Linked DNA regions of Callithrix jacchus. The protein of the gene in region 1 purifies or fractionates together with the protein of each later gene. This does not show direct contact. Links are inferred from orthologs where the notes say so. Each region holds a gene or a part of one and is shown on either strand. Other genes may lie near its edges.

Region 1 (7,948 bases):
CTGAGTTCAAATCCTGGATATCGTTATCAATTTGTTGTCTCGTTGAATCTAAATCTATGTGTCTTATGTATCTGGGTGTTAAGATCTCTTATTGTTACATTAATCCTTTTACCCTTGTATCCTTATAGCTTTGAAATCTATTTTGTCAAATGTGAAAATTGCAACTCCTGCTTTTTATTTATTTATTTTTGCTCTCCATTTGGTTGGTACGTTTTTTTTTTCCAACCCTTTATTTTGAGTCTATGTATATCTTTGTATATACCGTTGGATTTTGTCTGTATCTTTTGATTGGGAGATTTGGTTGATTTAACTTTAGGGTTGCTGCCATTTGATATTAACTGGCTATTTTGTCCTTTTGTTGATAAAAATTCTTCTTTATGTTAACGCTCTTTACTTTTTGGTGTATTTTTAGAAAGGATCATACTGGTTGTTCCTTTCTGTGTATAATGCTTCTTTTAGAAGTTCTTGTAAAGCAGGCCTGGTGGTAATAAAATCTCTGAGTACTTGCTTGTTCCTAAAAGATTTTATTTTTCCTTCAAATGTAAAGCTTAAATTGGCAGGATATGAAATTCTGGGCTGAAAGTTTTGTTCTTTAAGTATATTGAATATTGGCCCCCACTCTCTTCTAGCTTGTAGGGTTTCCGTTGAGAGATCTGCTGTAAGCCTAATAGGCTTACCTTTATGGGTAACTTGATCTTTCTCTCTGGCTGCCCTTAATATTTTCTCCTTCGTTTCGATCTTGGTGAATCTAACGATTATGTGCCTTGGGGTTGGTCTTCTTGAGGAATATCTTTGTGGTGTTCTCTGTATTGCCTGGGGTTGAATAGTGTCCTGCTTTGCTAAATTAGGAAAATTTTCCTGGATAATGTCCTGGAGAGTATTTTCCAGCTTGACTTCATTCTCTCCGTCACATTCAGGTACACCAATCAAGCGTATATTAGGTCTTTTCACATAGTCCCATATTTCTTGGAGACTTTGCTCATTCCTTTTTATCCTTTTTTCTCTATTCTTGTCTTGTCGTTTTGTTTCATTAAGTTGGTCTTCGACCTCTAATACCCTTTCTTCTGCTTGATCCATTCGGCTGTTTAAGCTTGTACATATTTCACTCAGTTCTCGTGTTGTATTTTTCAACTCCATAAGTTCATTTGTATTCCTCTCTATATTGTCTATTCTTTTCAACATTTCATCGAACCTTTTTTCCAAGTTCTTAGTTTCTTTACATTGGGTTAGAACAAGTTCCTTTAACTCCCAGAAGTTTCTTATCATCCACCTTTTAAAGCCTACTTCAGATAATGGAACACAGTCCTTTTCCATCAGGGCTTGTTCCGTTACTGATGAGTCCTTTTCCATCAGGGCTTGTTCGGTTGCTGATGAGTCCTTTTCCATCAGGGCTTGTTCCGTTGCTGATGGGTTCTGATTTTGAGTATACTCAGCCTTCTTAGGCTGTTTTTTTCCCTTCATTTTAGATGAACCGCCTTTCTAATTAGTTTTCTGAGTCGACGTCCGACTTACTGATTCCCAGTGCTGGGATCCGAGCCACCCACTGTGGCAGCCTAAATAGCAGCGATAAGACTGATGGTGCTCTTCTGCCCGGGAATCTCTGGTCTGGCTTCCCTCTTGAGTCCGCAACAAGCGGCTCTGACTTCCCGGAGCTCCAAACTCTGGTCAGTAGGGGAAGCGGTCCCGTTGGCTCTGCGTGAAGAGCTGCTGCGCCGAGACGCCGGCAAAACCGCTGCAGCGGCCACAAGAGTCGCGCTGGCGACCCGTGGGGCTCCTCCACTGGGAGTCGGCTAATCGGTGAGTGACGAAAATTCGTCTAATGATGTGGCGTCGTCTCGTTCTCTGAGCTTTCACTGGGAGCTACAATCCTGAGCTGTTAGTGGTCGGCCATCTTGGATCGATTTTTTTTTTTAATGAGAAAAAAAAAAATGCTTGGACCAATCTTACTGGGTTGATGAAAATGTTCTAAATTTGATTTACAGTCAGAGTTGCATTATTTGGTAAATTTACTAAAAATCATTGAAGTGTAGAGTCGAAATGGGTTGATGTTATGATATACAAAGAATACCTCAATAAAGCTATTAGAGAAGAGAAAGCTTAGACCTCTTTGAATCCTTCTGAGGGAGCTTCTCAAAGTGAAACTCTGGGTAGGAATTGGGGTTAGTAAAAATGAAAAGACCCAGCCAGGCACAGTGGCTCGCACCTGTAGTCCCAGCTACTCAGGAGGCTGAGGCAGGAGGACTGCTTGAGCCCAGGAGTTTGAGGCAGCAGTGAGCTATGATGGTACCACCCTCGTCTGGGTACATACAGTACAGAACCTCATCTCTCTTAAAAAAAAAAAAAAAGATTCAGCTGGGCATGGTGAACACAAGCACCAATTTTACTCACACTGGGTCAGTTTAAATCCCAGCTCCAGCAAGCTCTTAAACTTTTGGTGCCTTAGCTCCTTTGCCTATAAAAAATGGCTTGAGGCCAGGTGCGGTGGCTCACGCCTGTAATACCAGCACTTTGGGAGGCTGAGGTGGATAATTTGAGGCCAGGAATTTAAGACCAGCCTGGCCAACATGGTGAAACTCCATCTCTACAAAAACTGAACAACATTAGCTGGGCATGGTGATACATACATGCCTGTAGTCCCACTACTCGGGAGGCTGAGGCACGAGAATCGCTTGAATCCAGGGGTGGAGGTTGCAATAAGCCACGATAGAGCCACTGCACTCCAGCCTAGGCGACAAGGTGAGACCCTATCTCAAAAAAAAAAAAGATTTTAAAAAAGGTTTAGTACCCACACTTCCTTGTACAGTTATGACAATTAAAGGATGGATAAGCATTTGTCACAATGCTTAGCTAATATTAAACCTTATTACCGTTATTATTCCTAAGAGTGTCTTTAGGAACCAACCTCTAAGAACATCATTTTGCCCAGATCCTGAGCCAGAAGGCTTTGAGGTGAGCTGCTGGGAATAAAGCTCCAGGTGAGGGAGATGAGTGAAAATGCCCACAGGAAACCACAGGCCATCCAGCACTACGTGTTACCTACCAAGCTTCACTTTCTTCCTTTTCTCATCAAGTTTCTGGGTCCTCTCTGCTGCCTGCTTCTTGGCTTTCCTGACCTTGTCATAGGCAGCCTGGCAGGACAAAGGGGCACAGGGCAGAGGGTCAGCCAGAGAATAAAGACAGGAGCCCCAGCAATCTACGTGGCCCCTAGCCCAAGAACCATCAGAGTGGCAGCCTGGTGACTGAGTCTTCTGGGCTTAGACAGCAAGGACTTAGAGCAAGAACTGTGCCACATGGCAAAGGGCAGAGGACTGAGGCTGAGGGGCAGCAGTGGTCTCTAAGCATGGGGGACGATTCAGATAAAGGAGGCTGTGCTTACCCTGGCAGCAGCGTCGGTCAGCACCTCCAAGGCCTGAGAAAGCTGGTGGAAGAGTTCAGCTAAACGTAAGGATCAAAAAGAGAGAGAGAAGAAAAAAAAAGTTAACACTTTGTGATGGTGTGCTCCCTCAAAAAAAAAAAAAAAACACTTCAAAGAAGCCACAGGATGGCAGAAAAGTTGCGATCAGCAGATGACAGACCAACAAGGAGGGGTGAGCACATCAGCAACTGACCAGACACCCCTGACATGAATGGAAGCCGTGGGTTCCACTTTCTGGAGCCAGGCTGTGTGTGCCTACCCCCCCAAAGCACTCACATGCAGAGCTCTAGCACAAAACGCAATGCGCGGGTGAGTGGGCCTCTCCCCACACCCTTAGAAGAGTCTCACCTGCTCTGGGATTATCTGGATTTTTGTCTGGGTGGCAGGAGAGGGCCTTCTGCCTAAATGCCTTCTTCACCTGGAAGAGTCAGACAGAAGACATGGTCATTCACTCTCATCCCACAAACAGGAAAACCTTGCTAAAAGGGTAAGGGAAATCACGTGCACACCTAAAAGAAAAGCTGCTGGCACCCACTCCATTGCTGCCAGGGAGACCTGCAATGGAGGAGGCCAAGGCCGTGGGGGGAGCAAGCCACTATCGCCCAGCACAGGAGCTGGGCCCACTTCCTTCTAAGCACTCAGTCTCACCACTGCATATATTCAGCGGCTCCCAGAACGGGCAGGAGCACAGTACCCTGCTTTCTCTTTTTTTTTTTTTTTTTTGAGACAGAGTCTCACTTTGTCACCAGGTGCCAGGCTGGAGTGCAATGGCACAATCTCGACTCACTACAACCTCCACCTCCCAAGTTCAAGCAATTCTCCTGCCTCAGCCTCCTGAGTAGCTGGGACTACAGGCGCACGCCACCACGGCCAGCTAATTTTTGTGTTTTTAGTAGAGACAGGGTTTCACTATGTTGGCCAGGATGGTCTCGATCTCTTGACCTCGTGATCCACCCGCCTCAGCCTTCCAAAGTGCTGGGATTACAGGCTTGAGCCACCGTGCCCGGCCAGTACCCTGCTTTCTCTATAGCCATGCGCAGACAGGTACTCTACACATTTTCAGTGGGCCTATAAACTAGGGTGACCTATCTGGAGGAAGATTCAGCCATCAAAATTTAAAATGTTATTTCCCTTTGACCCAGTCCTAGGCATCTGGACTTGTAGAAGTACGGCAAAATAAATATATAAGGATGCTCAGTATGGCACTGTTTATACCAGCTTAACAAGATCCCCGTCAGCAGGGAGACTCATTTAAAGGATTATCATTAGCCAAGTTCAGTGGCTCATGCTTGTAATCTCAGCACTTTGGGAGGCTGAGGCGGGAGGATCACCTGAGGTCAGGAGTTTGAGAACAGCCTGATTAACATGGTGAAAGCCTGTCGCTAATAAAAATACAAAATTTAGCCAGGCATAGTGGCAGGTGCCTGTAATCCCAGAAACTTGGAGGCTGAGACAGGAGAATCACTTGAACCTGGGAGGTGGAGGTTGCAGTGAGCTGAGATCACGCCACTGCACTCTGGCCTGGGCAGCAGAGTGAAACTGTGTCTCAAACAAAATAAAATAAAAGATTATGATTGAGGCCAGGCGTGGTGGCTCACACCTGTAATCACAGCACTTTGGGAGGCTGAGGCAGGCTGATCACTTGAGGTCAGGAGTTGAGACCATCTTGGCCAATAGGGCAAAACCCCATCTCTACTAAAAATATGAAAATTAGCTGGGTGTGGTGGTGCATTTGCCTGTAATCCCAGCTACTTGTGAGGCTGAGGCAGAAGAATTGCTTGAACCCAGAGGCAGAGGTGCAACGTCTCTACTAAAAATACAAAAATTCGCTGGGTGTGGTGGCGTGCACCTATAGTGCCAGCTACTCGGGAGGCTGAGGCAGGAGAATCACCTGAGCCCTAGAGGCAGAGGTTGTAGTGAGCCGAGATTGTGCCAATGCACTCCAGCCTAAGTGACAAAGGGAGACCCTGGCTCAAAAATAGAATAAAAAATAAAATTTTTAAAAAAGTTTGTTCTTTAGGTTTTAGTTCTGACTAAAAAAAAAAAAAAAAAAGAAAGAAAAAAGAAAAGAAATTTTAAAAGTTTGTTCTGGAATTTGCTATGCCTATTTTTAAAAATTAAAAAACAAGGCCGGGCACGGTGGCTCAAGCCTGTAATCCCAGCACTTTGGGAGGCCGAGGCGGGTGGATCACGAGGTCAAGAGATCGAGACCATCCTGGTCAACATGGTGAAACCCTGTCTCCACTGAAAATACAAAAAATTAGCTGGGCACGGTGGTGCGTGCCTGTAATCCCAGCTGCTCAGGAGGCGGAGGCAGGAGAATTGCCTGAACCCAGGAGGCGGAGGTTGCAATGAGCCGAGATCGCGCCATTGCACTCCAGCCTGGGTAACAAGAGCGAAACTCCGTCTCAAAAAAAAAAAAAAAATTAAAAAACAAAAGATTATAATAGAGGTATCCATGTTCTGACACAGATCTTACTATAAACTTTTGAGTTTAAAACAAACAAACAGCTTGGGTGCAGTGTGGCTCACACCTGTAAACCCAGCACTTTGGGAAGCTGAGGTGGGAGGACTGCTTAAACTCAGAAGTGTAAGACCAGTCTGAGCAATACAGTAAGTCTTCATTATTGCCAAAAAATAAAAAAATTAGCTTGGTGTGGTGGCTCCCGCCTGTAATCCCAGCATTTTGGGAGGCTGAGGCGGGCCGATCATGAGGTCAGGAGATTGAGACCATCCTGGCTAACAATGGTGAAACCCCATCTCTACTAACAATACAAAAAATTAGCCAGGTGTGGTGGCACATGCCTGTAATCCTAGCTACTTGGGAGGCTGAGGCAAGAGAATCACTTGAACCTGGGAGGTGGAGGTTGCAGTGAGCCAAGATCATGCCACTGCACTCCAGCCTGTGTGACAGAGCAAGATTCCATCTCAAAAAAAAAAAGAATTAAAAAAAAATGGCTGGGCGTGGTGGCTTACTGCTGTAGTCCCAGCACTTTGGGAGGCTGAGGCGGTCAGATCACGAGATCAGAAGATCGAGACCATCCTGGCTAACATGGTGAAACCCCGTCTCTACTAAAAATATAAAAAATCAGCCAGGCGTCGTGGCACGTGCCTGTAATGCCAGCTACTTGGGAGGCTGAGGCAGGAGAACTGCTTGATCCTGGAAGGCGGAGGTTGTAGTGAACTGAGATTGTGCCACTGCACTCCAGCCTGGGTGACACGGTGAGACTCTGTCTCAAAAAAAAAAAAAAAATATATATATATATATATATATATATATATATATATATATATATATATAAGGAGCTGAACATTCTGTATTTCAAAGTCGTTTAGGAAACAACTGCCAGTCTCATATACTGGCTAGATATTAGCAGGGAGAGAAGTGAGGTCCATACAGAGCTCTCCAAGAGCCCCTCGGTGCAGCATGCACTGACCCGCCTTGCGTTCACTGATAGGGATCTAGGATATGCAGGTGCTGATGGGAGACTGGGAACACAGGGACAAACAGGCATGTTCTCTGGCTCTGAAGAAGAATACTGTTTAGCAAAGAGGATTCCAGGGAAAACTATCAGTTCCAATTACATGTGTGAGATGCCTAAGAGTGGTCCATTAAAATGGGAACACAGAGAAGGCAGCGACTAATTTAGCTCTGAAGGCTTCCTGGAGGAGGCACTATCTGAGCTGGGTCTAAGGTGAGCAGTTCTCCAGGCAGAGAGCCTGAAATGGCCTTTAAAACAGGGGGGTTTAAAAAAAGGACCTTTGCTATTTCTCCTCTAAGTTGATCTGGAGAAGTCTAGACTCAAGAGGTAAGCAGCCGGCATCTGCCAGGTGAGCACTTTCGGGGCAGCTCCTGCCTGCATGAGACAGCACCGGGCCCAGGACCTCAGGGGTGTGCTGCCACCTGCTGGGCCACAGCCAGCACCACCCTTGACCTGCCAAGGCAACTGTGGGCAAGCTGTGAACCGCCAGGGCAAGCTGTTTGGTTCAACTACTTGAGAGAGTGAAGTCTAGACTCTTCTCCAGATCAACTTAGAGGAGAAATAGAAAAGTTCTGCTTTAATCAGTAAAAGGTACTAAGAACAAAAAGGAACATGAAAACAGACATGTTTGCTATAAGCTTTTTCTGTCAAAGAACATTTGATTAATTAAAAAATTTTGGCCGGGCGCGGTGGCTCACACCTGTAATTCTAGCACTTTGGGAGGCCAAGGTGGGTGAATCACAAGGTCAGGAGTTCAAGACCAGCCTGGCCAAGACGGTGAAACCCTGTCTCTACTAAAAATACAAAAAAATTAGCTGGTGTGGTGGCAGGCACCTGTAGTCCCAGCTACTCTGGAGGCTGAGGCAGGAGAACTGCTTGAACCCGGGAGGTGGAAGTTGCAGGAGCTGAGATCACACCACTGCACTCCAGCCTGGGCGACAGAGGAAGGAAGACTCCATCCAAAAAAAAAAAAACTTCAACCAAAAAATGTCATAGGTGCAGTGGCACACTCCTGTAGTCCAGCAGTTTGGGAGGCCAAGGTGGGAGAACT
Region 2 (7,948 bases), on another chromosome or scaffold:
CCGTCTCTACAAAAAATACAAAAATTAGGCGAGCATGGTAGCACACGCCTGTAGTTCCAGGTACTCAGGAGGCTGAGGCAGGAGAACTGCTTAAACCCAACAGGTGGAGGCTGAAGTAAGCAGAGATTGTGCCAGTGCACTCCAGCCTGGGTGACAAAGCAAGACTCTGTCCAAAAGAGAAAAAAAAAGTACAAAGCTGAAATGTAAACTTCACTAGAGAGGCTCAACAGGAGAGAATAAGAATGAAGAAATATGAACAGAGCCTCAGAGAAATATGTGGCACTATTAAATGCACCAACATAAGCATAAGAGGAGTACCAAAAGGAGAGAAGTGAAAGGAGCAGAATAAAATGTGTGAAGATATGTTTAATGGCCAAAATTTTGAAAAATTTATTGAAAAATATTAATCTACATATCCGGTAAGCTCAATGAACTCCAAGATAAACAAAAAGAAATCTACAGACAGACACATCATATTAAAAATGTTGAAAGCCAAAGACGAGAAGATTGAAAACCAGTAAGACAGGCCAATCACAGTGGCTCGCACCTGTAATCCTGGCACTTCGGGAGTCCAAGAAAGAAGGATGGCTTGAGGTCAGGAGTTCAAGACCAGCCTGGGCAACACAGTAAGACTCCGTCTCAACAAAAAAATTTTTTTGTAATTAGGTGGGCATGGTGGTGTGCATCTGGTAGATCCAGCTACTCAGGAGGCTAAGGCAGAGGATTACTTGAGCCCAGGAGTTGAGGGCTGCAGTGAACTCTGCACTACAGCCAAGGCAACAGAGAAAAACCCTCTCTTAAAAAAAAATAAAAATTAAAAGCAATAAAACAAAAATGATTCAACAATACAAGGAAATCTCAGTAAGATTTACAGTATTTCTCATTAAAACAATACAGTATGATTCAATTTTGTAGAAATGTTAGTGTATATATACATGTATAAATACACATCTATGTTGAAAGAAAAGTTTAGAGATATATATTTCAAATTTTAAAGTAATTTCATTCTTTAAATAATGGAAATAAAGACTTCAAACCACATTAGAAAACCTTTACACCATAATGCTAAATGTCTATAACCAAGTCATAAAGTATTATATTGCATATGTCCCAAAATTAGAACATTAACAATACTGGAAGAAAAAATGTGCTACTTTATAATCAATAAAAAACTGCTTTAAGTTAAAAGGTAGATTTGTAATTTAACATTTAAAACAAATAGCCCTGCGCTGCATTCTGCATAAAGGCTAACCCAGCCTGTTATAATATAACTTATAAAGATTTGCAGAATCTATAAGAATGCCTACAAGAAATTATAGGGTAAATTAAAATCTGCAACTTTTATTTAAAGCAATCAATGCTAGCCATACTTGGAGATTTTTCACATATTTATTTGCTGTATCCCTGGTCCAATCCACATGGTTAAAAGGCTCTAAAAATTTGGTCCCCAACAACCACGGATAAAAATGGAAAAGTAATTTTTTTTCAACCTTACTCACAGTATTTAACTCTAAATAGTATACAGAATAGAGAGGTGGCCAAGAATGGGAGAAAGTTTAGTACTTCCTCTTGGTTTCTGTTTACTGTCCCAGGCAGCTCATACCCTCAACATAAGTTAACTATTCTAGGCTAGCAGCTGGTCAGCTCTGCCAACATGCATCCTCAGGCATGAAAAAAATCCTCCATCCCAGAATCTGGCACTTCAAAGCCATTAATTCCAACATACTGCTCGTCATCAGGTGAAGAAGCACCAGCAGGCCAACCTGGGGTCCACAAAGGGGCACTGTGTAGGACAGGGAGGTTATTCCAGGGCCGGTCCAAATTTGCCCTTTACTGACTTCATCTTGGATTCTGAGTTACTGGGACATCAATCATGGACTTAACCAAAAGGAAAAAAGGGGAAAGCGAAGAAAATCCTGGGTGAAAGACAATGTGCAATATATACTCATTTACTTTTTAAATAAAGATTTCTGTGAGGGCCTAAATTTGGTTCTAGGCTCATTAATTCCCTCTTTGTTCAGCCAAGTATTCTATTTCACGGCCAGTGCCTGCCCAATACCAATCAAGCAAAGTAACTAATTAGCAGTCATACAAAAGACACATAATCTTGTGTGTCCTAAAATCATGACTCCAAAATAGCTACAACAAGTGAAGCTCTCATAAGACAACAGAACAAACTCAACATACTGGATAAACTGGGCCAGCAACTGGCCAGCTTAAATTTTTTAAAATATGGTTTTCTCTAACTATTCTGAAATGGTTAGGGAAAAAAATACAAGATGTTTTCAGAGAAATAAAGAAGGTAAAGAATACTAGCAAAATGAGAATTGGACAATTCCAATTATCATTCACCCAACAGGGTTAATAAATCATGTCGCACCGGGCGCGGTGGCTCAAGCCTGTAATCCCAGCACTTTGGGAGGCCGAGGCGGGTGGATCATGAGGTCAAGAGATAGAGACCATCCTAGTCAACATGGTGAAACCCCGTTTCTACTAAAAATACAAAAAAAAAAAATTAGGTGGGAGTGGTGGCGCGTGCCTGTAATCCCAGCTACCCAGGAGGCTGAGGCAGGAGAATAGGCTGTGATGAGCCGAGATTGCGCCATTGCACTCCAGCCTGGGTAAAAAGAGCGAAATTCCATCTCAAAAACAAAACAAATAAAAAAAATAAATCATGTCATTTTTATTGGTCCTTAGGATGCCTAGACTAATTACTGAACTATGAATGGTAACAACCACACTGTGACATTGTGAAATAATATATTTGGTCTTCATCCCTGTTTACAACAATGCAACTTCTAAAATCCTGGGACTCTTCCGAGTGATAAGGGTCTTTCTGTATGTTAATGAGTTGACTGATGGCTGTCACCAGAAAGACCAAGGCAGTATTAGAGGATTGGGACTTTCAGCCCTACCCCCCAACCTCAGGAGAGGGGAGAAGGGCTGAGGGTTCAGTTGATAAGCAACGGCCAATGATGTAATCAATCTTGCCTATGTAATGAAGCCTCCATACAAACCCAAAAGGACAGAGTCTGGAGAACTTGTGGGCAGCCAAATACATGGGGCTTCCAAAAAGGTGAACAAGAACACACCCACTTGCTCAGAGGGTGGCATATCCCAGCTTCAATGGGACATAAGCACCTGCATTCAGGACCCTTCCAGACTTCACCCTATGTATCTCTTCATGTGGCTGTTAATTTGTATCCTTTAACATATCCTTTATAATAAACTAGTAAATTGAGTATTTTCTTGAGTTCTGTGGGCCCTCTAGCAAATGAATAGAACCCAAGGAGAAGGCAGTGGAAGCCAGCTCTTTAGTCAGAAACACAAGAAAAACAACCTGAGGCTTGTGGTCAAGCATCAAAACTGGTGTTCAGTCTTGTGGGACTAAGTCTTCAACCTGTGAGATCTGGAGCTATCTCCAGATAGACAGTATTAGAGTTAACTGAATTAGAGGACAACCTGCTATCCACTGCAGGATTGCCTGCTTGCTGGTGGTGGGGGGTGGGTGGGGGGAAGAAAACACCTATCTGGTCACAGAAGTATTCTGTGTTGATAGTTAAGTGAAAAAAACACTTTGCTTTTTATTCCTATATCCACACATACCTTGCTTCTTCCAATTGTTTCTCTCTTGCTTTCCTCTTGGCCTTCTTTCCCTGAGTATTAGCCAAGCGAGCTCTGGCTTCAGAAAGCATCTCAAGTTCATCTGCAAAAATTAAAAGAAGAAAAACTGAGACCGCCATCATGAACGACACAGTAACTATCCACACTAGAAAGTTCATGACCAACCGACTGCTTCAGAGGAAATAAATGGTCATTGTCCTTTACCCCGGGAAAGCAACAGTGCCTAAGACAGAAATTTGGGAAAAACTAGCCAAATGTACAAGACCACACCGGATGTCATCTTTGTATTTGGATTCAGAACTCATTTTGGTGGTGGTAAGACAACTGGCTTTGGCATGATTTATGATCCCCTGTATGCAAAGAAAAATGAAACCAAACATAGACTTGAAAGACATGGCCTATATGAGAAGAAAAAGACCTCAAGAACACAACGAAAGGAACGCAGGAACAGAATGAAGAAAGTCAGGGAGACCACAAAGGCCAATGTTGATGCTGGCAAAAAGTGAGCTGGGGACTGGATCACAGCCAAAGGGGTAAAGGTGCTGCAATGATGTTACCTGTGGCCATTGTGGATTTTTCACAAGAAGCTTAATAAACTAAAAACTTTCATGTGGGGAAAAAAAAAAGAAGAAAAACTAAGTTTTTTCTTAGTTCTTACATACCTTACAAGCAAGGTATGTAAGAGACACTCTATTACTCTATTAGAAAAAAACATAAATATACTCACAGTGTAGCATAATGGAAACAGCTTGAGTTTTGAAATCAAAGAACCTAGGTTAAAAATCAGGCCCACCACTTGCTAGCTATGTGACCTTATAGTCACTTACTCACCCTCCCTAAGTGTATCTTCCTATAAAATTGGAAGACAATTCCTACTTCACAAGGATGTTGAGAAGAGCTAAGTAAAATGAAATATGTAAAGCATCCTATTCATCAAACAGTGGCTAGAATTACTGTATCCTTCATTATCATCAACTAACTGACACAGCACAAATTGTGAAATATGGTAAAAACGATTTCATTATGAGAGAACTGCTATCATGAGATGCTTTTTTTTCCCTCAGAACAATTTCTCTCCTCCAATACATTTTGCATGGCTCTGTGGAATGGAGTAACACACGCCATTATTGATGCCTTCAAACAATTCCTATGCGAGGCTGTCCAACCAAATCACATGGGAACTTGTAAAATACTCAGATTCCAAGGTCACTGCTCTTCCCTTGCCCCTCACACCACCTCAGATGTACTGACTCCGTATATACAGGGGAAGCCCTCATATTTCTATTTTTAAATGTACCCCCTGTGATAATGATGCAGCCAGCCTAGCCACAGCCTGCCTTTGGGAACCACTACATTCAAACTTTTATATTTTAGAAACTCAACAAATAGTCACTGAATGCTTCACAACAACCCTGCTAAGGTAAAGCAGTTACTAGTATTCTCCATCTAGCAACAAAGGGAATCACAGCTCGAAGAGATTTTAAGACTTGCTGAAGGTCAAACAACTAATAGGTGGCACACACAGGTTGAAAATCCAATTCTTGATTTTCTGTTAATACATACTTTACATATTTATAGTGTACGTGTGAGAGTTTGTTACATGCATAGAATGTGTAATGATCAAGTCAGGGTATCTGGGGTATCCACTGCCTTGAGTATTTATTTCAGATCTCTCTTCCAGCTACTTTGGAATACATAATACACTGTCGCTAACTATAGTGACCCTATTCTGCTACCAAACATTGTAACTTATTTCTTTCCATCTATACTTGTACCCATTAACCAACCCGTCTTCATCCCGCTCTCCCACCTACACACTGTTCCCAGCCTCTGGCATCTATCACTCTATTCTCTACCTCCATGAAATAAATGTTTTTAGCTCCCACAGATGAGTGAGAATATGCAGTATTTCTCTCTCTGTTCCCGGCTTATTTCACGTAACATAATGACTTCTAGTGCCATCCATGCTGCTGCAAATGACATTTCATTGTTTTTTATGGCCAAATAGTATTTTGTGTGTGCGTGCGTGTGTGTGTGTGTGTGTGTGTACATCACTATTTTTTTTTTTTGAGACAGGGTCTTGCTCTGTTGTCCAGGCTGCAGTGCCAAAGCTTGATCTTGGCTCTCTGCAAACTCAGCCTCCTAGGCTCAAGTGATCCTCCCACCTCAGCCTCCCCAGTAGCTGGATCTACAGGCATGCGCCACCACACCTGGCTAATTTTTGTATTTTTTATAGAGGCAGGGTTTCACCATGTTGGCTATGCTGGTCTCAAATTCCTGGGCTCAAGTGATATGCCCAAAGTGCTGAGATTACAGCCGTGAGCCACCATGCCCAGCCCACATTTTCTTTATCCATTCATCCATTGATGGACACTTAGATTGATTCCATATACTTTCTAGTACAGAACTCCTGATTCAATACCTCACAGAATCACTTGTAAGTCTCCATCACTGTCTCACAGTGTTGCCTTCTCACACAGAATAAATAACTTGCCTGTAGTCAATTTAGTAATTAATAGGAGGACTGAGGTCCAATATTCCAACTTGCTGCCTCTCTCCATGGAATAGGAATGAGAAACAGGATCCTCAAGAGCTCACCTCCAGCCTCTGAAAAATCCACCCAGTAGAATTACACTACTCAACTTTAAAGACAGGGTCTCGTTATATTGCCCACACTGGCCTCCAACTCTTGGGTTCAAGAGATCATCCCACCTCAATTTGCTTAGCAGCCAGCACTACAGGCACACACCACCACACCCAGTAACACTGCTTAATTAACTGAACTGAAAAAACAAGATAAAGGGACACTATTCAGAAAAAGCAATTACTCTATAACAGAAAACACTGGACACATTTGGAAAGATACTTAGAATAAGAACTGCTAACAGAAATAGGGGCCAGGTATGGTGGCTCACAGATATAATATCAACTCTTTGGGAAGCAGAGAAGGGAGGATAGCTTAAGCCCAGGAGTTTGAGACCAGCCTGGGTAACACAGGGAGACCCCATCTCTAGAAAAAATTAAAAAATTAGCCAGGCATGGTGGCACACATCTGTAGTCCCAACTACTCAGGAGGCTGAGGTGGGAAGATCATTTAAGCACGGGAGGTGAACACTGCAATGAACCATGATTGTGCCACTGCATTCCAGCCTGGGTAACAAGAGCAAGACCTTGTCTCAAAAAAAAAAAAGGAAGGGATTCTAAAGTAGAGGAGTTCAGAAAGGAACTAAAAGAGTTAAAAAGAGACCTGAGGAGTTTATAGTTACCAAAGAAATAAATTCCTCAAAGCACACACTTACCCTCATCCATATCAATTGGATCAGGCCGTGCTGGTTTTGTTTCTGGATTTGGATCTATTTCTCCAGGTTTAAGTTTTCGTGGATCATCTGTTGTTTCCTCTTCATTGTCTCTTTGGGCAGCTTTATCCCTAGAAAAAAGCCCACATGAGTTAGTCACACTATAATACCATTTAGTGTTAAAATTATCATTTCCAAGCTCTGACACTCTTTTTGCCCCCCCCCAAAAAAAAAATGGATGGGCTTTAACAAAATAAAGCCTTTCTACATTACTTCATTTCAAAGAGATGATATTAAAATTCGCTAATTTCAGTGACTGCTTTCAATCACTCTGAAAAAGGACCCAACAGATCCTAATCACAACTGCAGTACAGCCACACAGACTTTAAAAAAAAAAAAACTATTAGTAAAGAACCAAAATGTTGCAATAGTTAATTCTCAGCAGCATGATTATGGTGGCTTTTATTTGCTCTTTTACTATTTTTTCCCCAGATTTTCTAATGATAAACATGCATGACTTGTATAATTTTTTTCAATTATTATTTTAAGAAGTATACAACAGAAGGCATAATTTTGATCAACCATATGAGATTTGGAAAATGCCATCCAATGGCTTCAGCCCTGGCTTTACTCACATCTGTAATTAAAAGTTTAAAGAGAGAAAATACTAAAAGTTTATTCGGCCTCTTTCGGAAGAGATACATATATTCTACACTGCTTTTGAAGATACACTTACAGAAGAAATTCATAGTGTTCTAAGCACTGGGCCGCTGTTCTTCCAATGATTGGAGCAATGGTCCTCCACTGAGTTGGCATCAACTTGGCCAAGTGCAAGAGTTTTTCCTCCTCTTCTCTGGACCATTCTGTCTTTTTAATGCTTGGATCTAGCCATTCATACCTATTAAAAACAGATCATTTTATGTATTAATCAGCTACCTGGCATAAATATCCAATTTGCACAATGGATACACTGACTTCTAGTGTCTGAAAAACAAATGCTCTCATCCTTCAATTACTAAAACTGTTCT

The links. The genes of interacting proteins can lie anywhere in the genome.
Region 2: the proteins of DNAJC17 (region 1) and CDC5L purify together in Homo sapiens (affinity purification with mass spectrometry; 3 studies listed by BioGRID and IntAct, with this or other methods). This does not show direct contact. The link is inferred for Callithrix jacchus from reciprocal best matches to the Homo sapiens genes DNAJC17 and CDC5L.

Annotation. Positions count from the first base shown.
Region 1 is NC_133509.1:45,781,891-45,789,838, reverse strand, and holds part of DNAJC17 (dnaJ homolog subfamily C member 17), read right to left. Parts: intron 3,834-7,948; coding exon 3,764-3,833; intron 3,436-3,763; coding exon 3,377-3,435; intron 3,129-3,376; coding exon 3,041-3,128; intron 1-3,040. UniProt on the Homo sapiens protein: May negatively affect PAX8-induced thyroglobulin/TG transcription.
Region 2 is NC_133505.1:52,851,632-52,859,579, reverse strand, and holds part of CDC5L (cell division cycle 5-like protein), read right to left. Parts: intron 7,819-7,948; coding exon 7,657-7,818; intron 7,052-7,656; coding exon 6,924-7,051; intron 3,707-6,923; coding exon 3,607-3,706; intron 1-3,606.